Linked DNA regions of Arabidopsis thaliana. The protein of the gene in region 1 interacts with the protein of each later gene in a pairwise test. Each region holds a gene or a part of one and is shown on either strand. Other genes may lie near its edges.

Region 1 (6,835 bases):
ATTCATATTTGGAAAAACCGAGTTGAATTTTTTTTTTTTTTTTTTGTCGTCAACGGAGTTGAATTATTTTGTGATTACTGGTGACTGTTGACTTCTCTTTGGTTGTTTCAGGGTGCTCTTCTTGTAAATATTGCCCGAGGTGGTCTTATTAACTATGAATCAGCTTTCCAGAATCTGGAGTCCGGTCATCTAGGAGGCCTTGGGATTGATGTGGCGTGGTCTGAGCCGTTTGATCCAAATGATCCTATTTTGAAGTTCAAAAACGTTATAATAACCCCTCATGTCGCTGGAGTTACCGAATATTCATATAGGTCCATGGCCAAGGTAAACTCATCCAAGGAAGATTCACTCTTTCTGATATGTCTTCTGCATTTGGTTGGAAATGGATTCTAAACTCTTACTGTTGTTAAATGTAGATTGTCGGAGACCTCGCGCTTCAGTTGCATGAAGGACTTCCTCTCACCGGAATCGAATTCGTCAATTAAGAGGTAACATTTTCGTGTATTATCGTCACAAGAATAATATCCTGTAACACACACCCACAGTAGTTAATATAAATTAATCCAAGTCTCTTTCTGATAACTCCGACCTTTCACTGCAAACTTTTTAGTACAACGGATTAGTAAATAAGCAAAAACCAATCTCTCGTACTTTTACTCAAGTCTCGAACAAACTGATACTTCTTTGACCAGTGACTAGTCTTAACCATAACTAAAACGTGGTAGGTGAATCATCAATCTATACTGTAATCTTTCCAGTTGTGTCTTGAGAATTGGAGACACAGGGATCAGCGTCGTCAAGCTTTCTCACGACCTCTCTCATACTCGGTCTGAGATTCGGGAGCTTCGTAGTGCAGAGAAGACCCATCTTCAGAACTCTAATCATGCTTTCTTCTATATAAGTGGACAAAACTTGCTTGTCCAAAACATTTTGAAGGTTCCTCGGATCTTGTTGAATCTGAGAGTAGACATAGTCAACAATGTCTTTCCCCTCTCCAAACTCGTCTTCCATAGGCCGAAGACCGGTAACTAGCTCTAGAAGAACCACACCGAAGCTGTACACATCACTCTTTTCCGTTGCCTTGAAGGAGTAAGCCAGCTCTGCAGTGATCATATCACACAATTACAACAAAAAAGAATCAGTTCCCAGTTTTCATCTTGTGAACCAAAGTTTATAGTTAAGTTGGAAACTCACCAGGAGCCATATAGCCATGAGTTCCAGCAACGCAGCTCCATTCATATCCTTTGTCTGCAACTTTTGCAACTCCAAAATCTGCGATTTTCGACTCATAATCTCCGTCAAGTAAAATGTTGCTTGACTTTATATCTCTGTGAATGATGGGTGGACAACAATCATGATGCAAATATGCGATTCCTTTTGCCGCTCCCACCGCAATTTTATATCTGTTTATCCAACAAAAAGGGACAAATTAATCACTTTTCTTTCTTATAATCTTGGATCCATGATTAACCATTTTGAAACTGGTTCTTATTGACTAGAGAGTACCTTTTGAGCCAATCCAGTTCTGGTAGACCGCCTTTAATATTGTTGCCAAGAGCTTGATACAAGTTCCCATTCTCCATGAACTCAAACACCAAATATCTAGAACCTCTTCCAACCAAACAAGCGTAGAGTTTCAACACGTTTCTGTGTCTAATCTTTCCAAGAATCTCCATCTCCGCAACAGAGACCTCTGTTCCATCACCTTCTTCTCCTCCTCCTCTCTTCAACCACTTAACCGCCACTGTCCCGCCACCTTTTTTCAAATCAACACGGTACACTTTTCCTGCACTTCCAGATCCAATCACATGATCTTCATCCAATCTACAAATCTCATCAACGTCCAACTCCATTTGATGAAAAGACGCGATTTTCCACTTCGCATCCGCCTTGTTGATATCTCTGTTTTCCGAATCAAGCTCACGTATCTTCACAACTCTGTAACGCAACGCGAACAAACCACTCACTAGTACTACCACAACAATTGCAAGAGCCAAGAACAAGAGTGTTCCATCGAGTGAACTATTCCTCTTCACGTTTTGGTAGCCACTGCAAATACTCAACCCCAAGTTCTGATTTGTTTTAGCGTTCTCTTTATCAACACAGAGCTTCTCGTTACGTGAGAACGCGGTGGATCCTCCCACCGCTAAAAGATCCGGTGGTATTCTTCCTGAAAGTTGATTTCCAGACAAGTCAATGAAACTCAGCTTCAACTTCACAAGACTCGCCGGGATTTCACCTGTTAGCCTATTCCCTGAGAAATCCAACGAGTTTAAAGAAGCAATCTGAGATAAACTGTTAGGGATTTCTCCGGTCAAGAAGTTCTTAGCGAGATTCAGATCAACAAGTTTGACACAATTCTTCAATTCCTTAGGGATAAATCCTGTTAATGAATTGTTTTCAAGATGCAGAGATGATAACTCTTTCAAATCTCCAACTTCCATCGGAATTTCGCCGGAAAGATTGTTGTTGCTCAGATAAATCCTCTCTATATTAGTCAATCTTCCGAGCTCACGAGGAATCTTGCCGGAAAATCTGTTGTTCTGTAAAATGAGCTGACTCAGTTCTGTTGAAAGTCCAATCTGAGGAGAAACCTCTCCGGTGAGTTCGTTATCGCTGAGATCAATCATCTTAGCAAGCGGTAGAGACCAGAATCCTTCAACAACTTGACCACTTAGACGGTTGTTGTTAATCCTTAGTCTCAATAGAGATTTGCACTCGCCGTAAGATCTCGGAATCTCGCCGGAAAACTCGTTCTGCAAGGCGAGCAAGAATTGTAGTTTCTTGTTTTGGCATAAGAATCTTGGAAATGGACCAGTAAACTCGTTTTCAGATATATCAACCGTGTCGAGCGGCGAGAACCGGCCGATGTTAACCGGAAATTCACCGGAGAAGTTGTTTCTATAAATCGAAAGAGAAGTGAGGTGACTTAGATCGCCGAAACCAGAAGGAAATTCGCCGGTGAAGTTGTTTTCATGACAGTGGAAAACTCTGAGCTCCTTCAAAACTCCGAGTTCTTCAGGTAAAACCCCGCTCAACTGATTCGAAGAGATGTCGAATTCGCGTAAACGAGTCAAGTTCTTTATCTCCGGAGGGATTTTACCTGTTAAGCTGTTGTTGAACAACTCAATCTTGGTGAGATTTACCAATCTTGAGATTAAGATTGGGAAATCATCGGAGATTGCGTTGTTCGCGATGTCGAAAGTGTCGAGAGCATTCAGATCAAAGATCGAGTTTGGAATCTTCCCGGTCAAGTTGGAGCGAGCTAAGAACAGCCAAGTAAGTTTCTTTAAACCTCCAATACTCTCAGGAATTATACCTTCTTCGTAGTGATTGTTGCCAAGACCGAGAGAAACCAACTGATTCATATTCCCAATCCAGCTTTGAAACTCTCCGTTAAGAAAATTCCCGGAGATGTCGAGAATTTCTAGGGACTTTAGAGGAGAAAGGTTTGGGATTGTTCCGGAGAGTCTGTTGGAGGTGAGATTGAGAACTTTAAGGTTTTTGCAGTTGACTATCTCTGGCGGGATTCTTCCGGAGATGAAGTTAGATGGAAGCGATAGCGTAGAGAGCTTTGTGAGAGCTGAGATTGATGGAGAAATGGTGCCGGAGAGATTTACGTTTCCTAGAGAAATACCGATGACTTCGCCGGATAACGGGTCGCATGTGATGCCGCGAAACACGCATGGTGAATCGGAAGGCTTCCAAGATTGTAGAATGTTGTGAGAGTCGTCGAGGCGGTTTTTGAAGCGAAACAGAGCTTGTTTCTCAACGGTCGATTCAACATTCGGCGGGAAAATGAAGAGGAGAAACGTGGCAGCCACGGTGGCGACCACGCTGCCACGTAGGAGGTCTGGTCTTCTCGACATTTATAGTGATTCCCAAGGGCAAAACGGTCAATTTGTAGTTTAGGTGTTGATCATGGTCGATGCACTGGAATTCCCACCTACATAGAAAAATAAAGATATGAAATCAACAAACTAACCACTATACAATTAATAATCCACTCAAAATAAATTTGATATTTTAATGTATGGGATTTTCATAGTATTATGGTTTTCCAATTGTGTTTACTGTTTATTATTATTATATTCTATGCACGTATATTACTATATATATAAAAAATCAATCATAGCAAAGATTTTGTAAGAAGAATGGGTGCATGTGATTTGTGAACAGTTTTGTATAAATCATAAATTAGTTGTGATACATTTATACATCATGTATGGTAGATGGACATATTAAGCTTGCTTAAGTACACAAACTCCAAAAGTGAGCTTTAAAGGTACTCATTACAGTGCAGAAAGTTTATTATCCTTCTCCTAAATTTTCAGTTTCTTAATTATTTTGTTTGAAAGTAAAGCAAATGATCTATCTTTACTCTCTCTCTCTCCTTCTAAATCTGTGAATATAAACTTTAAAAGCATTGAATTTTAATGAAAAAAGAACAACACAACATTGAGAATTGAGTATCTATCAAGGATTAATGATTAAAAAGGTAATTAAATAAACAATCAAGTTAAAAATGAGTCATGCAGATTGTAGTTAGTGGATAAAGTAATTATGTTATTAGTAGAGCTAGTAACCTACACATTTGAAAATTTGAAATTTATAGAAACTTTTTCACAGAATCTATCCTTTAAATCTTTGGAAATAAAACAACCTTAGATTGAGTAAAGAAAACAAATATGTGAGGCTTAAAGATTCAAAACTTAAAACCAAGAAAAGCAACGGGATTAAACAAAATATAATGAAGAATTATCGTACCTGAAATAGATGAAACCTATCCAAAATCTCAGGTTAGTGAATGGATGATCCTTCTTAAATTTGAGAGATTTCAAACAAAGACAGGGGAGATGATTTTGATTTGTGGTTTCTGGTAAGAAAAAAGGAATGAACCTTTTTGTGTGATTTTCTTGGACCACGTTCTAGGAAAATCTCTAGGAAACAACAAAAAGCAGAAGAAGTCCTAATTTCGAGGAAGTTCTTCGATTATCAACTTAATTTAGTTTCTCTCAAAAGATAGAATTCGATGAAGAACAGTTCCAGAGAAAGATGTCTCCAAGAAATACGAAAGAGAGAGAGATTTGAGAAGAGAGGAGAGAGGAAAGAGAAGTGAGAAGAGACAAGAGAAAGTTGTCGTCGAGACTTGGAGCCAAAAAGGTTAAATCATTTATCAAAAAATCAACTATTTCTCTAGCTAGCTTCTCTCACCATACAATTCATGTTCGTGAAAGTTGTAAAAACTTTTAAAGTTAATAAAAATCATCTGACTATACTGATTTTGACATATAATATGTTATGATGATCTTTCTTTATAGTTAGCGTCGCTCTCAGGTTAAGAAAATCCAACGGTGCTTATATAGTTTTCTAATATATAAAAGAGGATCAACAACAGACATTGACCTAAAAAATTAGTTTCATGGATGTAGAAAAACATTCATCTTTCGGTTAATGTTTCTAGATGGATTGATAATAAGTGGAGATTCATTGTAATAAAACATTTTAAAATTTATTATTATAATGATACGTCATTGTCTGGAAAATAATCTTATTTGATATTTGTTTTTGTCATAGCGATAATTGTTCCTATTGGAATTAGTAGCAACTACTAGTTGTATATGTCCAAAACGTTACGTGAAAACATTTACATTCATATAGTTCCTATATATAAGATGATAAAAATAAAAGTGAAAAAATATTACTAGTATATAATTAGGAAATGCTGATTTATTGGATTTTACTTTTAAAGTGGAGATCAATTACAATAAATAATGAAAGCTTGGAGAAACCTATGAAGGTTACTAGAAAAAAATAAGCAACGAATCGTATTGATCCCAAATAGTTAGGCCGAAAAAAAAAACATTTTTGGTTTCTTCTGTAGTGTTAATATTCGTTTACAGTCTGGAAAATAAATTAAAATTAAAGAACCAAAAAAGAAAGAGAGAACTAAAATGTTGTTGGGTCGATTACCCTTTTAAGTGAAGTTTGATAAGAATCGTCTAACCTACTCAATGTCCTTTTCTTTCTACATCCATCTCTCTAATGTTATCCCCTTATGCTCCGAATCCCATTCTGATTTATCTCCAAGTTTTATATCACATATTTATTATGAAAACTTATAATTGCTTATTCTCTTTCTGATTGATATCAATGTGTGATGGCCTTGGGTCCTATGGCATCGTTTAGCCACTAAAAGTTAAAACACAAATTAAAGGACCATAATACAGTAAAATATTTAGAAACGGTAATAGATAGTGAAATGGTTAGTATATGATGATTATGTGGTTATAAATGTACCCCTTTCACTGAATCACTTTGTTTTCATGCTCACTTCACTCGATTGGTAATTATTCAAACTTACAAATGAAATTCCATAAAGTTATGGCCCTTACAAGGTTATCATCCTACATGTTAGAATAGTATATAGTATGTTGCTTCTTTATTTTATTAAGAAAAATCTAAGATAATGATTTAAAAAGTGAGACAATACACGAGAAAGAAATCAGAGACAGTCAATAACAAAAACAAAAAGTAGATGAGAATACTATAAAAAAAAAATCCCCCCATACATTTGGCCAAAATCAATAATACTAACATAGTTTTTTTAAGAGTATACAAAATGGAATTTTAGCTATTGCAAGAAAAAAAAAAAACTTCTCTTTAGTTGTTTAAATACTAATACTTTCTACTGAATAATAAAGTATTAACCGTGATACCTAATAAATTTTCTTGTGTCGGTTTAAATGGGAAGAGATACGGTTTAATAAAGGGATATGTGAGTGAGAATCAAAAGATCTTTGATTTGGATGTTGACTTCCCCAGCTGTATCCCT
Region 2 (5,627 bases), on another chromosome or scaffold:
AATCAGGAATAACTGAAACAGCTTGAGAGCATACTTAAGGCTAGAGAGAGAAAAAAGCTAACCAGGGTCGCATTGCTGGAAAAAATCTTCCACATCTGCAAAAAAAAGAAATTAATTGTTCTTAATTCGAAGAACTAAGCATCATCAACACAATCCATAACACTAGAGCACAATTGTTGAAAAAGGGTCTAAATAAAGCCACCAAACGATCGTCATGAGAAGAATTCCCACGAAAAACTCAAAACCCATAAGAAAAGTTTCAAACTTTAAAAAGCAAAGAGAAGAAAGAAGAGACCAGTGGTGAGAGCTTGGATGATGCCAGCTCGACGGCCCTTAAAATCTCGAAAGACTTCTTCGACAGTTCGAGGGCTGTAGTGCGCAGTTCCTCCTTCCATGTCCGTCTCTCCTCTCTCGGAAACGATGAAAGAACAGTGAGGTTTGCTTCTTTTTTTTTTCTAAAGCAGAATTTTTGTTCTTAAGTGATAAAGTAAGAAAACTTAATGCAGACTAAAAAGTTGCCCCGTGGACAGTGACCGACCCGGTCTAGTCACAACACTTATTTAAAAATAAAAATACATAAATAATGGACATTAATAATGTCTTCGTGCGTTTAGTTTGGTGTTATCTCATTTTCAAACATAATCAAGTTTGTCGGGAAAAAAACTACTCTACAGATTTCATAAATATTATGAATGACAGACGTAATCAACACATTCAAGATATAATCATATAACCATGTCTTTTTTCACTTTTCTCAATCATCTACAAAGCCATGATCATCCAGAGGAAATAGTTACGATCAGATGAGAAACACCAACAACAATTGGAAAAAAAATAACCCAAAAAAAAGAAGGAAAACTGAGACGAAGCAAATGCATCTGATTAGCTTACACTTGCCATCTCCACTAGCTGGTTCTGCTTACAAAAGTTCCTGTCCAATATCTCACTCTCTGAACAAGTTGTATCTGTCACTCCCAAATGCAACATACGTATACACATGCTTATAACAAACAATACCGTCGTTTCAGGTTGCAATAGGAAATAAGTGAGTCGAATCTTCCTCTAAACACAGCATCGTTGATCGTTACCTTCCTGTCATCAGATTAGAGACCAACGTCAAGCCTAGTATTCTACTTTGGGAAAAACATCCCAAGAAACATCTCTGTAAAACAAAATTGTTACTTATACTTGGTAGATCATCTTACCTGTATCTTCTTTCCTTTTCTCAGGCGCATACTTTTCGAGAAATTGCAAGTTTGTTTTCCAGTAAACTTCACCACCAGACAGCCATGTATCCATATGCATCCCACTTGGAAACTCCACAAATGTGCACTGAGGGTTACGGGCAGCCGCTTTCGCATACAGCATTTTCATGTGAAATGGAGGGACCATCTCATCTTGCAGTCCAGAGAGGAAAAGCACTGGTTGTTTGATCTGTCATTGTTGCAAGATCAGTTTATCACAGGTTGCTACAGAAAATCAAACGATGAGACATTTTTTTAACAGGGATATGTTTTTAGCAGCACATCAAGCTCCTTTCTTGTTTCCTTTCAAGTTTTACTCCATAGAACAAATCAGGGAGCAATCAATCAGCTTGCGGCATACATGAATAATTTTATAGTTCGGGTTAGCTTATCATGAATTCAACATATTCCGCAAAGATATATACACTATGTCCCGTTAAAAGGAAATGAAGGAATGCAAATGCATGAGATATATTAATATATATGCCAGTGAGGTCATTGGGGTACCATAGTGTTTTTTGCTTAAATGAGTCATTTTATGGCATATGCAAACAGTAAACGAAAAGAATCCATCTAACATCTATCTGCAAGAGTCTACATTTGCATCTTACCTCAGCAATAGCATCAATTGTTTTCCAGGGAGAACGTACAACAAAATTAAGAAGCTTCAGGCTTTTCGTACCACTTCCTCCAATAAACCACTTCAAGAACGGCAGCAAAACGCCAGCCATATCAAGAATGGATGTGAAAGTATTTTCCAGAATCAATGCAGATACCTATATAGCGACATTGAGAAATGGTAAACATACAACTATAAGGCGTGTGGATATCAAATGAAATACTGGAAGTAGAGACAACAAGAACAAAAATAATAGCTTAATCAAGGCATCTACAAATTTCATTTACCAAGAAATTTTCTGAGAAGGATAAGGTTCTTGTGCATATAATAGTAAATATCAGTGGGGGTGATAAAAGGAGGCCTATAACAAAGCTCAAACGAATACCCCTATCAACCAGGTTCTTTTATTGCCAGATGACTAAAACTTTAACACAAAAAATAATTATATTCAGATAGTACAAACCGCGTAGATTGTTACTGATGATAAGTGACTAGAATCTAAATAAAGAGGTACTCTAGAAATTTTTATACAATTGGACTCCAGGTCATCTGCCAAAGACCATGAGTTATAATAATTTGCAACAGTAACCAGAATCTCATTAATATACTGATAAGAAGCCATCCAAACCAAGCCCCTAGAGGAGAGAGGAAGGTGCCCTTAGGCGTTATAATTTATAAGGCATTTGTTAGTCTCATTCGTAACCATGTGGGACTCTCAATAATACTTCTCCCTTTAAACAGTAACATCCACAGAGCTGGCGGCTGGTACTTGGCCTATACTGTCTCTCTTCTAATAAAATATACATTTTCCCTACTCATGAAATGCTACCAATAGCAATATGTACTAATAGTACCTTATCTGGATTGTTTTTGGTAAGCACAGCTCCAACAGCTCCCCCAAGGGACCTTCCAAATACAACTATTCTAGATGTATCAATGTCAGTCCTTCCAGAAAGGTGATCCAATGCAGCCTAACAAAAAATATCAGGCAAGAAAATGGATAATGAATACATGGAGACGCAACAGAAGAGATATGTGGATAAATTTAGGGAGACAAGCAAACCTGAGCATCTTTTATGATACCTTGTTGTGAAGGATAGCCTTCACTTGCCCCATAGCTGGTTGCACGGGAAAATCAATAAGCATTGTATAAACAGATCCAAGGTTTAGACTCAAAAACAAACAATTTATATAAGAGATAGACCAGAAACCAGCAAACTGAAACTAACCCGCGATATGAAAGCATGAATACATTGCACTTCAATTTTTGTATCATGATGCGAACCATCTCCAGACGATGAGCGATGTCTGGGATTCTAAGGTCAAGGTCGTAACAAGACAAAGTATCCCAGCTAACAGACATGGAACATAAAATAGGTTCCTTAGAGCATACAAATATAAACAAACAAAAACCAAGAAATGGCTCTGGAAAGGATACTTCCAGCGTTCTCCTGGAAAAATAAAATGGTTGGACCTGCATGCCAAACATAAACTATTAGAAAGACTTCGAATTAGGCTAAAGCTACCAACCACAAGCAACTAGATTTTAGGTGACAGATAAGTTCCAAACTAAAGCTAAAATGACTTAGGGATCACAAATCTGAGAAAAGGAATCCAAAACCTAGCTAAAGACAGAGACATCAAGACCTAAAATCCCTCAAAATTCAGTAGATTCAAAAGCTTATTCGAAAATGTAAAATCAAATCTACCAGGAAAAAAAAACTGAATCGAAAGGAGACTCAATGATCAAAGAGAGTGTGGACCTCGACATTCAGGGAACATCTTGATGAACCAAGCGTGGAGACGTACACCATCGGATGATTGAAGCCAAATATCTTCGTAGATGAGATTGAGCCTAGCGGGAGTGATCGGATAAGACTTGCTTAAACCCGGAAGCACTGGGACGTACACAAGCTTCTCCTGGAAAGCCACGAGCAGCGCCACTCCGGCGACGACTATCCCTCCGAATCCGTAGAACAACGCGCTCACGTACGTCACCATTTCCTCTGGTTCTGCTAAAGGAGCAGATTCCAAATCCAAATCCGAATCCGAAACAGAAGAAGAAGCAAAAATCGAACGCACTTTTGCAACTTTCTATCTGTTTCTCTCGTGGATTTTGCTTTTCTTCTTCAGAGGGGAGAAAAAGAGCTTCTTCGTTTCTTTTTTTAAGTTTACAGGTGAGAAGGATTGAGACAGAGTTTCACTGGGCCGAAACTAAAGCCCATCTATGCGCTAAACCCAAACCGATTTTGAGTCTTCACCATAAGAAAATGTAGCTCTATTTGGTGGTCTAAATTGTTCATTTGCGAGTCCACCAACAATACTCAAATATGACATTTCCCGATGAACTCTAATCAATAGTTCGGCTAAGTTGTAAAGTTTGTACTCAACAATTATATAGATTATTCTACAGTTTCTATCTTGATTTTTATATAATAGTAACTTGATTTTTGTTTGTATCGCGAAGTTATTTGCTTAAATGAGTTAAGTAAAATCATTGTCATGCATTTTGAAATGTTGTAAGAAACTTAGCAAAAAAAAACTTAAATATATTGTAAACAAGCACAAACCATTTTGACCTCTTTAATAATATTATAATAGTTTTGGGAAAAACGAAATTTTGTGGATAAGATCTTGGTACATACAAATTTGTATATGAAATAATAAAAGTGGAGAAGAGACCAATTTATCTTAGTGACCCTAGTGTAATGTTTCAGAAAGGTTATATTGACACTCAACGATAACAAGACCATAGTGGCTGGTCGAAAAAAAAGAAAAATACTGAAGAGTTGTTTGTAAACTAAACAAGTCTTGGACCACCACCCTTTGCCAAAACATTTTAATTTTCAGTTTAGTACATTACCAAATTTACAACAACAACAACAACAACAAAAATACTTACACTATTAATATTTTCGAGTCGTTGGATCATTATTCACTTGAAATGTAATGTAGACGAAGACGTCACATACATAAATATTGTCGGACGGAACATATTGCTATCCTTAAATTAAATGTCAATGAGTTGCCATCAGAAGCGTTATGAACAACACACTACAGTACCCATTTAATGAATAATGCTAAGAACAACTTTTTATTATTGTGATCTAGCTTAGAACCACACATAATAAATTATTTCGTTTTAGGTTTCTCAAAAGTCAGAGTCAAATTTTGCATACATATCGATTAACTTCAAATCTTGCAGCACACTTGGCTACTTGAGTGTGAAGAACGACCTTTGATACCTCTGAAAGTCTAAATCCACAGGCCAAAAATCATGTATATAGTCTAACCTCTGTACAAGTTTAGCTAATCAGTAAACAAACAAAAATGATTTACCTTACCTTATGCAAGACCAAAACTTTTTACTTTTTTCACTTTCGAAATTTTAACCACCGGATTGCGTAATTACCGTAGTGAGACGCGGAACCTTTATTGGAAACCGGTAATCCCGGTTTAAAGTTTCTTAAGCAGAAATTATAAAAAAAAAGAGAGAATAAAACATAAAAAGAGCACCGAACCCAAACCAAAGTAGAAGAAACTGACACCATCTCTGTCTCTCTCTCTCCGTATCCAAAAAGAGAAAGAAAAAAAATCTCAAATCAAAGACCAAGCCAGTCACCGGAAAATGCTGACGTGTATAGCTCGTTCGAAGCGAGCAGGCGATGAATCCTCCGGTCAACCAGACGATCCAGATTCTAAAAACGCCAAATCTCTAACATCTCAGGTAAATTGAAATAAACTCACTCTTCTCCTCCGTCTCC
Region 3 (4,990 bases), on another chromosome or scaffold:
TCCTAGAAAGCTCAATGAGGTTGCTATACAAAACAAGGTCACCAGAAACACGGTCTTGTTCCATCTTTTGAAGCCAAGACAAAGCAGAATCAAACATACCCTCTTTACCAAACGAGGTAATTAGCGTTGAATAAGTATACCTATCAGGGGCAAGAGCTCTCTGACGCATTTCGTCGAACAGTCCGTGTGCAATATCAAACTGCTTAGCTCTCAACACATTTCGAAGAACAACATTGTAGGCGAACACAGAAGGTGTGTATTTGGCTTCCTCATGAACCCAATCGAGCAATGCCAATGATCTCTGCCAATCATTTTCTCGAGAAAGAAGAGAGACCATGAACCGTATAGATAATTGTCTGTCTTTGTAAGTTGAAAGCAAAGAAAAAAGCTCTTTTTCGTTCTGGGTCTGGTGAATTGAAGCTAAAAGCTCGTCCATATCGACGTTGTGGTCGAGAAAAGCAGATCTTTGATACCTCCGATGTTTCCTTAAGGCCTGAAACGACGACGTAGTGTTCTTCTCCGGTTGTTTTCTCCATACCTTTTTGTTTTGTGTGGATTCTGAAGAAGAAGAAGCAGAGACTGTGAAGATGAGATTGCGTTGTCTAGCTTCAGGAATGGTGGAGAAGGGTATCGAAGTGTAGATATGAGGTCTGGTTAAGGGTAATAATGGAAGAGAAAGTGAAGAAGATGAAGCAATTTCTATGTACATCTTACACAAAGGATTTTTTTAAAAACAAAAGTACGTTAAATTTTAGTTTCCAGCCTCATCGACAGTCTATTTATAAGTAATATATCAGAGTTGAGAGTCAGCAAAATTTAAGCTCATCTCTATCTCTCAAAAGCAAAGTAAAGCTTAACCAATGGAGATAAGGTATTTTCATATCCGTAGTTACGTACAATTCGTAAAATGTGTTTTCGTACCTAAATATATTTGTAGAGTAAACTATAACCCAAACCAAAAAAATATTTAAATTTCATATCTAAAATTTGTGCAAAAACAAGAGTCAAATTAATTAGTGTTAGCCAACATTGTTACAGTGCTAAGTTAAGCGAACACATATATGATGATATGTCTTTAAAAGATATGTAGACTCGAACCTGTAAGTTATAGCTTTTAAATAAGTATCTAATACCGATTTATCCGACAACCTTCTCCGGGTTATACACAATAAAACAAATTTATAAATCTTAAATATCTGGTATCAATTATCAGTTCTTATTTACGGACCAAATTTCACGCTAAAATGAAAATCTACTATTGATAAATTCGTGGAAAAGATCAAATCAGAAGTTAAGAACAATGACAAGACTCATTTAGATTCACTGCTTTATGTATTTTGTTAGCTATGTCTTTTGAAATCGAAATGGAAGAAGAGTCTATTGAGAAGATGTATCAAATGATGGCGGAAATTTTAATTGTTGTTGATCCTACATCAAAATCCTAGAATTTGATTATTTTTTCCAATTCACAACGACATTCTTTTGTTAATCTGAAAACACAACACACTTAAGGTATATAAACTAAAACGTTTGGGTAAATCTCGATGAAGATTATGAGATAAAAATGGTTATGTACCTCCTTTAAAAGCAAAGATCTAAAACCAACATTTACTCTAATAAAAATTCAGATAATAATTGTAAAAGTAACAGAATGTACTTTCCTAACATGTATACAACCGGATATCCATCATTGTCTGAAATGGACACACACCCTCGAAAGTCTAAATTAGTTATCACTGGTTACTTCTCTATTTGTGTCTAACGAATAAAGTCCTTGGTTGACTTATTATGTGTTCCAAGTTTATGGGCTTTATAGTGGCCCATCACATAGATTCCAGATTTCATTTTATTTCCTACCTACTAAGATCTGATCTGGTTTTAATGCTCTTGACCAGTAGTAATCTTTCTCTTTTCGTTATTTCCTTCTTCTTCAGTTCCTCCTTCTTCAATCTCTCTATTCTCTTACTAACGTTATTTCTTCAATCTCATTGATCAAAAAAAACCAAAACCCTAATCTGCAAAAATCTCAATTTCCTCCAAAAGTTTCAGTTTTTAAAAATGGGTTTTCTTCTTTTGTAACGAAAAAATGTGTCAAACTTTGAATTGACCATTTTTTTTTATAAGGATTCGATGAAGAAATTGAGAAGCTATTACTCAAATGTGAGACATCATCAGAATCACCATCATCATCACCATCATCATAGCAACATTGTTTCTTCAGAGAGGAAATGGATATTTTTCCCTCTATTGATTGGTTCAATCTTCGCTTTGTTCTTACTCTTCCTCACAACAACCCTAACTTCACCAACCGGAGGAGTCCGATTTCTCCCTTTTACCCGACCCGTTTTGTTAACCGGATCTGGTTCATCAGCTTTCGTTGAATCCAAAATCAAACCTCAACAAATCTCATCACTCCCGTCGCCACCGCGTTTTGCTTACTTGATTTCTGGATCCGCCGGCGACGGGAAATCTCTCCGGCGAACTCTTTTGGCTCTTTACCATCCGAATAATCGGTATGTTGTTCATTTAGATAGAGAATCTTCGCGTGAGGAGAGAGAGGAGCTTCATGGATATATCAAAAACTCGTCTTTGTTTCGAAGGTTTATGAATGTTCATATGATTGAGAAAGCTAATCTTGTCACGTATCGTGGACCTACTATGGTTGCCAATACACTTCACGCCGCTGCGATTTTGCTTAGAGAAGGAGCTGATTGGGATTGGTTTATCAATCTTAGCTCTTCTGACTATCCTTTAGTGACTCAAGATGGTGAGGTTTCTGAGGAATTGTTTGAGAAAAATTGAAACTTTTAGTTATGATTGTTCACTAAAGATTTGACCTTTTTGTGTGTCAGATTTGTTGCATATCTTTTCGCATTTGCCGCGGGATTTGAACTTCATTGATCATACTAGTAACATTGGATGGAAAGCGTAAGAAGAGTTTTAGAGTTTTTGTTTTCTGTGTCTTTTGTTTCGTATAGTAGAAGGAACTCTGATTTTGTTGTTGTTTTGATCTGGTTTCTTTTAGATCACAAAGAGCAAAACCGGTGATTATAGATCCTGGACTGTATTTGAACAAGAAATCTGATGTTTTTTGGGTTACGCAAAGACGGAGCATCCCAACAGCATTCAAGCTTTTCACAGGTGCTTGATCCCTCTAAAGCCTACTCGGTTTGTTACACTATAATCATCTCTGAAATTGCTATGATTTGATTCATGTTTAGTTGGATGAAACACTGACTCATCATACTTAGATTGCTAGGAAAATCTTTATAATCTCTGAGCAATTCACAGACTTGTTTTGATTGGTTGTCTCTATGTAGCTGTTTAGTTCGGTCGGTGCTTCTCAGATTTGCTCCATTTCTCATTGGTTGAACAACGTGGAATCATTATGCTTAGATTAGAACATTTGATAAGATCTGCAATATTATACTAAGAAGTTGGTTTTAAGTTTTGCCTTTGATTGTTGGGAAGACTTTTCTTCAGAGTCTATGATTCTCACATCGTTACAATTTCAGATTCTCTTTAACTAACATGTGATTCTTGGGAACAGGCTCTGCTTGGATGGCGTTATCTCGGCCATTCGTCGACTATTGTATATGGGGTTGGGATAATCTACCTCGTACGGTCTTAATGTATTACTCGAATTTTCTCTCTTCTCCAGAAGGATATTTTCACACTGTTCTCTGCAACGCTGAGGAATTCAGAAACACAACGGTAAATAGCGACCTGCACTTCATATCGTGGGACAATCCGCCTAAGCAGCATCCACACCATCTCACTCTTACAGACATGACCAAAATGGTAAATAGCAATGCCCCGTTTGCTAGAAAGTTCAGAAGAGAAGATCCTGTCCTTGACAAGATCGATGATGAGCTCCTTAACAGAGGTCCTGGGATGATAACACCTGGCGGTTGGTGCATTGGAAGCCATGAGAATGGGAGTGACCCTTGTGCTGTTATTGGTGATACTGATGTTATCAGGCCTGGTCCAGGCGCTAGACGGCTCGAGAATCTGGTAACTTCGTTATTATCCACTGAGAATTTCCGATCAAAACAGTGTAAGTGATCTGATATATCTAGAGAACGACATCACATAGAGATGGAATGTAGCAGCCTTGATTATTGGGGTTAGATGTGATTTAGGATCTGATAGAAATCCCTCTTTTAGTCAAGAATATAAGTGAAGAAATACAGAACAATTAGGCTATATGATGTGGGAAGTATTTGTCTTGTTGCTCCACACAACATGCCTTAAGGTCTTGTTGTAGTTCTCAGATTGGAATTTTGAGATTTTGTACTCTGCTGTTTTAAAGTTAGTTTCTTCCTTTCAACTTCTTATTTTGTAGTTAAGTTAAACCCAAACATTGCATTCATGCACTAGTAAAAAGAAACATAAGAAGCATTTTAAGCTCATAGAACAAAATTGCGTCAAACAGTAAAAATCATCAACCAACTATTTGTACTTGTTAGTTGTTCCCATCAGTTTTACAATTTCAAGATCAAAACCGGATATTGAATACACCGGTTTGATATCTTTATTGGTTTTCTTTCCCACTCCACTGACTTGTCTCCTTAGATATACACATGTTAAGATTTTTGAGGAATTCTTTTGTTCATCTAGAAACTTCGTCTCAACGTTTTGATGATCAGCACTAACAATACGACCACAATGTTTAATAAAAGAAGAAAGTTTTGAAGGAAAAAGTTTTCATATTGGAAAACCATACCTTTCAAAACTTTCTATCTGTTTATCTTCATGCAAGCAAGTCATTTTAAAGATAGATTTTGAAGTTTAACCTCATAGTGCTAGGATTCAGACAAATATGGATTGAAGTATAACCAGATTAGATTACACCTTAAGACAAAAGAAGCAAATTCATACAAATTCAAGACCCCGTAGTGCTAGGTTTTGTTTGTACTTTGTAAATACTAAATTCTAATGATGCTATTTATGTAGAACATTTACCAGTTTAACATATATTTGGTTTATT
Region 4 (6,801 bases), on another chromosome or scaffold:
GCAAAATGTGTTGTTTCTTTTTCATTATTATTGCTATAGACTGTTTCATACACAAGTTCCAGTACAACTTAAAACACCATGATTTCACAGACAATTTCACTCTGCCGACCTTATTTGGGCGTGTGAGTCGTCAATGTCAAAGCTATAGTGTCTTTATAAATTGAGGATGTATTCTTTTCTTTCTTTTTTTTGTCAACAAAATTATTAGGATTAGCAATCTTATTTTCTACAAAGAGATACAACAAGTGTATTTGACATAACTCTTATGACATATCTGATCAACATGCAAAATATGACTTTGAGCTGCAATTTAAGGTACAATAGTCTAGCTAGATTCATGAATCTTCTCTATAAATCTTTTTTTTTCTTTTTTTTTTTAATGTTCTATCTTTGAGCTGTAATGTAAAAAAAGATGGGTGAGACCAAACTTGCTATGTTTTGAACTAACTGTTCCTCAAAATTTGGAGGACCACTTGTTTGGCACTTTTGGCTTGCCTTCATGAAAAGTCCAAATCTATTTCATAGAAAGGGAAATGAAATAACGATCGCCTCGTGATTTTCAGTTTTTTTTTTTTTTTTTTTTTTTTTTTTGTAATCAGTATTCTTGTGAATTCTCCCACTATCTAAACTTTTAAAAAGTAATATGATTGACGTAGTTTCTCTTAAAAAATTTAAATAAGTTTTTTTCCATTGGATATGTGTCTTGGACTAATATTTCGACCATTAGGTAGGTCAGAAAATATGGATTTCGAGTCTATAACTTTTGGTGACCTTTTTATCGCGTCAATCGGATTTGAGAGATCCTTAAGATAATATGCACAAAAGTAACTAACGCTCCAAAACATCTAATAGAAAACCGTGTGATCATTATATTAATCTTAAACCACAAACATACATAATTACTTAACCATGAAATGGTCGAAATAAAGTGTGATTACAAAATTTATAGCATCTTCGAGGCAGTCCACTGCTTTAGATCCTTTATTTCTACAATTTCAGATGTCTCTTTGCCACAATCTAACTCTTAATTTTTTCATACTGTATATGATAGTCATAGCTATTATCAACAGTTTTATTTCAAACTTGACGAACAATCTAAACTAGATAAAAAGTTAGGAAAGTCGTAAATACCAAGCAGAATTGAGATACCACTTCTTGGAAAAATCAACAGCTCTATTTAATGAAAATATTGCCAACTTATATCGAAATACTTTGGAATATATGAGAAGTCATAGATACGTGTCAATTTGGTTGCACTTGTAAAACCCATCCACGCCGACGCAGCATTTGTCAACGCCCATCTCTCGCGTCCCACGTTTGACTCACATGATTCCTGCTTCGGTGATAAGCCACTCTTATTTTAGTTTGCAATTTCCGTCTGTGAGACGAGTTGTTTCTTTTTTTCTTCTCAATACTAAATTTATGTTATTAGTTTTGCTTGAAATAAAACTGATAAGAATGAGTTATAGCAACCACAAATTGTTTTTGAGTAGATTTTTACTTTCTATACTTTATTGTAAACATGAACAATTCAAAGACATAGATGGTTTCTAATTATAGCACCCAAAATCTAATGGTTTTTAAATTTTCTACTAAAAAAACAAATATCATAAGAAAAAAAAAAAAAACCAAATACTTCCACTCAAGGTCTAGTCACACGTGAGATGCACCAAAATTACAAGTAACAACATAATTACTTTTTTGAATCTTCAAACCAATACATTTATAATTTTTGCCTATAAATTTCTTCACATATCTTCTTCATACTTGAACTATATCACATGTTCCAAATATAGACGAGAACAAAACAAAAAAAAAAAGTCGTCGATAAGAGAGTCCTTTGAAATCCCCAAAATGCCCTTCAACATAACCTCCGTGAAAACCTCATCTAACGGAGTATGGCAAGGCGACAATCCTTTAAACTTCGCTTTTCCGTTACTCATCGTCCAAACGGCGTTAATCATCGCCGTCAGTCGCTTCCTCGCCGTCTTATTCAAACCTCTCCGTCAACCCAAAGTCATCGCCGAGATTGTCGTACGTTAAAAATTACACTCTAACCCCACACACACTAACTATTTACAATTTTACCATAATAATCTTCTTAATTTACAATTCTGCCATCGTCTTCTTCTTCAGGGAGGGATTTTGTTAGGACCATCGGCTTTAGGTAGAAACATGGCGTACATGGACCGTATATTTCCGAAATGGAGTATGCCGATACTCGAATCCGTCGCGAGCATAGGACTTCTCTTCTTCCTCTTCCTCGTCGGTCTAGAACTCGATTTATCATCGATCCGACGAAGCGGCAAACGCGCTTTCGGAATCGCAGTCGCTGGAATTACACTACCGTTTATCGCCGGCGTCGGAGTCGCGTTTGTGATCCGTAACACTCTCTACACCGCCGCGGATAAACCAGGTTACGCCGAGTTTCTCGTTTTCATGGGAGTCGCACTCTCGATCACAGCTTTTCCGGTACTTGCGCGTATTTTAGCAGAGCTCAAGCTTTTAACGACTCAGATAGGAGAAACCGCGATGGCTGCAGCCGCTTTTAACGATGTAGCCGCGTGGATTTTACTCGCTTTAGCGGTTGCGTTAGCGGGTAATGGCGGTGAGGGAGGTGGAGAGAAAAAGAGTCCGTTAGTGTCGTTGTGGGTTTTGTTATCGGGCGCTGGGTTTGTGGTTTTTATGTTGGTTGTGATCCGACCCGGAATGAAATGGGTCGCGAAACGTGGATCTCCTGAAAACGACGTCGTACGCGAGTCTTACGTGTGTTTGACGTTAGCCGGTGTTATGGTTTCCGGTTTCGCGACGGATTTAATTGGGATTCATTCGATTTTTGGAGCGTTTGTTTTCGGTTTGACTATACCGAAAGATGGAGAGTTTGGTCAGCGATTGATTGAACGAATTGAGGATTTTGTTTCCGGTTTACTCTTACCGCTTTATTTCGCTACGAGTGGTTTGAAGACTGACGTGGCTAAGATTAGAGGAGCTGAGTCGTGGGGGATGTTGGGTCTTGTTGTTGTTACGGCTTGTGCCGGGAAGATAGTCGGAACTTTTGTTGTGGCGGTGATGGTTAAAGTTCCGGCGAGAGAGGCGTTGACACTTGGTTTCTTGATGAATACTAAAGGTTTAGTGGAGCTCATTGTACTCAACATAGGCAAGGAGAAAAAGGTTAGTTTTGTCTTCCTTTTTTCTGATTTTTTAAGGTTCTTGTTTACGCTTTTAGTTATCTGATGAATATTATAAATATAAAAAACCTAGTAACACTAAAGTTATTTGATCATGTTTAGTGGATAAAGCATATAAAACAAAATACGATTATTATATTGATTTAATCGCATCTATACCTTTATTTTAGGGTGTTTAGATATATTTAAAAATTTAGGTTCTAGTTGGATCCATGTGTATATGCGTCCGGTCCGCTCAATATTGGTAGGCTGGTCGGGGATCCGGAATAGTAAAATTGCTTATGTTTTATTTGAACATTAACCAACCGTTGTATAAATTCAAATTGATAGCTAGGCAGGCCCGGCTCTAGGGGAGTGCCAGAGGTGCTAGTACACAGGGTCCTCATTTTTTTTTCTTAATTTTAAGTCTTCTAGTTTGCAGTTTTTTTTTTTTTAAGGGGAAAACTACAAAAAAAACAACCACCAAAATAAAAGATAATAAGTTTAAAATAAAAATACAGTAAACACATGTCACATAAAGTTATTTTGTTTAGATTTAAGGGCTATTTTTGTTTGTAGCACAGGGCCCAATAAAATATTGAGCCGGGCTGCTAGGTTTACTATCACTATAATAGACACGGTTGCAATTTGATAGCTAGGTTTGCTCTCAACCGTTGTATAGTAATATTAGTCACCATAATACAAATCTGCAGTTCATTAATCATAGACTGATGGACACGGTTGCAATTTGATAGCTAAGTTTACTATGTGCATCGAAGATGATGCAGTTAGCAATGGTAGCTTCAAAACATTAGTCCGTGATTCTTTTGTCACCTCCGAAATAAACATTTTTATCTTAAATATATGTGCAAGATTATACTATAATGCTTCTGGAAATATGTAGTATATAAAATTTTTTGTTTAAACGTGTCTTCCCAACAAAGATTATAGTTATATACTACACTTTTATTATAAAGGCGTTTCTTATTGTTTTGGGGTAATAAAGAAAAACTGATCAATTAAGGACTAGTCATATATATGCATGCATGAAAACTTTATTTTTATTTTTTTTTCTGCATGAAAACTTTATACGAATATACCTTTTCGAATGGGCCAATGTTTACGTAATCGTCACTTACTGATCCACTTGCAGATTTATGATCTTCTTCATAATGCAACAATAAAGTGAAATAATGATTACCCATTAATGTAGTAAGTGTGGTTATTTTTAATTAAACTGTTTGTACGCGGGGTTGACTTTAACCAGGTACTAAACGACGAGACGTTTGCAATACTAGTGCTAATGGCACTCTTCACAACGTTCATAACGACGCCTACTGTAATGGCCATTTACAAGCCGGCACGTGGCACCCACCGCAAACTAAAAGACTTGTCGGCGAGCCAAGACTCCACCAAGGAAGAGCTTCGCATCCTAGCCTGCCTCCACGGCCCAGCCAATGTCTCCTCCCTCATCTCTCTCGTCGAGTCCATCCGAACCACCAAGGTAAATTACCTTTCTTTTATATTTTTACGTTACAATAATCTATATTTAAATTTGTAAATCTATGATAAGAGTTATATCAGAAAATTAAGATATCATTGAAATGCTCAATGAAAATGTATCCTACGTATAATTACACACATTTTGTATAGTTAAAATTAAAAATCAGCTGGGTAATAATTTATAATCTTGGTTAATAATTTAAAAAGTCGTATTTGTTTTGGCAGATACTACGGCTAAAGCTGTTTGTGATGCATCTGATGGAACTAACGGAACGGTCTTCGTCAATCATAATGGTGCAAAGAGCCCGTAAAAACGGACTTCCTTTCGTTCACCGTTACCGTCATGGTGAGCGTCACAGCAACGTCATAGGAGGCTTCGAAGCCTATCGTCAACTAGGCCGGGTCGCAGTCCGGCCCATCACCGCAGTCTCTCCATTACCCACAATGCACGAAGACATTTGCCACATGGCAGATACCAAGAGGGTCACAATGATCATTTTACCTTTCCACAAACGATGGAACGCTGATCATGGTCATAGCCACCACCACCAAGACGGAGGAGGAGATGGAAACGTACCGGAAAACGTTGGTCATGGTTGGCGATTGGTTAACCAAAGGGTTTTGAAGAATGCGCCGTGTTCGGTGGCGGTTCTTGTAGACCGTGGACTTGGGTCCATTGAGGCCCAAACTTTGAGCTTAGATGGGTCGAATGTGGTTGAAAGGGTTTGTGTGATTTTCTTTGGTGGGCCTGATGACCGTGAGTCTATAGAGCTCGGCGGGAGAATGGCTGAGCATCCGGCCGTTAAAGTTACCGTTATTAGGTTTTTGGTAAGAGAAACGTTGAGGAGTACCGCCGTCACTTTACGACCGGCACCGTCTAAAGGCAAGGAGAAGAACTATGCCTTTTTAACAACCAACGTGGATCCAGAAAAAGAAAAGGTAAATCTCTTTTGATCCCCTATGTTTATATACCAGTTATGACAAATATAACTATAGCTTTCTTTCTTGGAAAAATAATTATAGGAATTAGACGAAGGGGCATTGGAAGACTTCAAGAGCAAATGGAAAGAAATGGTGGAGTACAAAGAAAAGGAACCAAACAACATCATTGAAGAAATACTGTCAATAGGACAGAGTAAAGACTTTGATCTAATAGTGGTTGGAAGAGGGAGGATACCGTCGGCCGAGGTGGCGGCATTAGCTGAGCGTCAAGCTGAACATCCTGAGTTAGGTCCTATCGGAGACGTGCTCGCCTCTTCGATCAACCACATCATTCCATCAATCCTTGTGGTTCAACAACACAACAAAGCTCATGTAGAGGATATTACGGTTTCCAAAATTGTTAGTGAGTCTTCTCTAAGTATTAACGGAGACACAAATGTATGATAACAATAAATAAATTGATCTAGTACTTAAACTTCGGCTTAATGCATGGTTAAAGTGGTTAGTTGAAGATGTAGTTTATCTACAATATATAGATAGCTCTTGAGTAAGAATTGTAAGATCGTCTACATATAAATAACCATGATTGGGCATCTTGGGCATCGTCTACATATAATTTCATATTTGGACTAAATAGTAAATACAATTATCATTTGGGCCATTTGAGAAACTACCGGAAACCTCTCACGTGCCAGAGACACGTACCAAAAAAAACCCCGAACATTTATTAGGAAGAAGAGAAAAAACGGAAAAGAAAAAAAAACGCATCAATCTGAGCAGCACAAGTCTGCGAGATTTGGATTAGATCTGATTCAGGTTGGATTGATCATCGTTCGGAGCTCCGGGAAACATGGCGGCGACGAGACAATTACGAACTCTCCAATCTCAGCCTGAAAACAAGGTATGTGTCGATTGCGCTCAGAAGAATCCTCAATGGGCGTCGGTTTCGTACGGAATCTTCATGTGTTTGGAATGCTCCGGGAAACACCGAGGCTTAGGCGTTCACATATCCTTCGTCAGATCCGTAACCATGGATTCATGGTCTGCGATCCAGATTAAGAAAATGGAAGCTGGTGGTAACGAACGGCTCAACAAATTCTTCGCGCAATACGGAATCGCTAAGGAGACAGATATTATCTCCAAGTACAATTCGAACGCTGCTTCTGTGTATCGTGACCGGATCCAAGCT

What was found.
Region 2: the proteins of AT1G72180 (region 1) and WAV2 interact in a protein complementation assay, tested with the Arabidopsis thaliana proteins (one large-scale study listed by BioGRID).
Region 3: the proteins of AT1G72180 (region 1) and AT5G39990 interact in a protein complementation assay, tested with the Arabidopsis thaliana proteins (one large-scale study listed by BioGRID).
Region 4: the proteins of AT1G72180 (region 1) and CHX20 interact in a protein complementation assay, tested with the Arabidopsis thaliana proteins (one large-scale study listed by BioGRID).

The regions. Positions count from the first base shown.
Region 1 is NC_003070.9:27,161,108-27,167,942, reverse strand, and holds AT1G72180 (Leucine-rich receptor-like protein kinase family protein), read right to left. Parts: upstream 5,124-6,835; 5' UTR 4,768-5,123; intron 3,947-4,767; 5' UTR 3,870-3,946; coding exon 1,507-3,869; intron 1,404-1,506; coding exon 1,195-1,403; intron 1,101-1,194; coding exon 739-1,100; 3' UTR 513-738; downstream 1-512. Other genes in the region: AT1G72190 (D-isomer specific 2-hydroxyacid dehydrogenase family protein), read left to right, coding at 112-324, 417-485. UniProt on the Arabidopsis thaliana protein: Receptor kinase involved in the perception of C-terminally encoded plant signaling peptide (CEP) and subsequent regulation of root and shoot development.
Region 2 is NC_003076.8:6,942,452-6,948,078, forward strand, and holds WAV2 (alpha/beta-Hydrolases superfamily protein), read right to left. Parts: upstream 4,064-5,627; 5' UTR 3,865-4,063; coding exon 3,627-3,864; intron 3,338-3,626; coding exon 3,302-3,337; intron 3,172-3,301; coding exon 3,093-3,171; intron 2,982-3,092; coding exon 2,927-2,981; intron 2,835-2,926; coding exon 2,718-2,834; intron 2,021-2,717; coding exon 1,856-2,020; intron 1,435-1,855; coding exon 1,206-1,434; intron 1,093-1,205; coding exon 1,085-1,092; 3' UTR 504-1,084; downstream 1-503. Other genes in the region: AL5 (alfin-like 5), read right to left, coding at 63-95, 296-395; BRXL4 (BREVIS RADIX-like 4), read left to right, coding at 5,492-5,590. UniProt on the Arabidopsis thaliana protein: Involved in the regulation of root growth. Involved in the suppression of the root bending in response to touch stimuli, gravity and light. Negatively regulates stimulus-induced root bending through inhibition of root tip rotation.
Region 3 is NC_003076.8:16,002,364-16,007,353, forward strand, and holds AT5G39990 (Core-2/I-branching beta-1,6-N-acetylglucosaminyltransferase family protein), read left to right. Parts: upstream 1-1,889; 5' UTR 1,890-2,130; coding exon 2,131-2,767; intron 2,768-2,852; coding exon 2,853-2,928; intron 2,929-3,025; coding exon 3,026-3,141; intron 3,142-3,550; coding exon 3,551-4,065; 3' UTR 4,066-4,460; downstream 4,461-4,990. Other genes in the region: AT5G39980 (Tetratricopeptide repeat (TPR)-like superfamily protein), read right to left, coding at 1-709. UniProt on the Arabidopsis thaliana protein: Beta-glucuronosyltransferase involved in the biosynthesis of type II arabinogalactan (AG). Modifies both the beta-1,6-linked galactan and beta-1,3-linked galactan present in type II AG.
Region 4 is NC_003074.8:19,905,081-19,911,881, reverse strand, and holds CHX20 (cation/H+ exchanger 20), read left to right. Parts: upstream 1-1,655; 5' UTR 1,656-1,854; coding exon 1,855-2,034; exon of another isoform or gene 2,035-2,136; coding exon 2,137-3,171; intron 3,172-4,434; coding exon 4,435-4,671; intron 4,672-4,895; coding exon 4,896-5,609; intron 5,610-5,693; coding exon 5,694-6,056; 3' UTR 6,057-6,291; downstream 6,292-6,801. Other genes in the region: AGD6 (ARF-GAP domain 6), read left to right, coding at 6,463-6,801. UniProt on the Arabidopsis thaliana protein: Operates as a K(+)/H(+) antiporter that maintains K(+) homeostasis in guard cells and could regulate pH. Plays a critical role in osmoregulation through the control of stomates opening.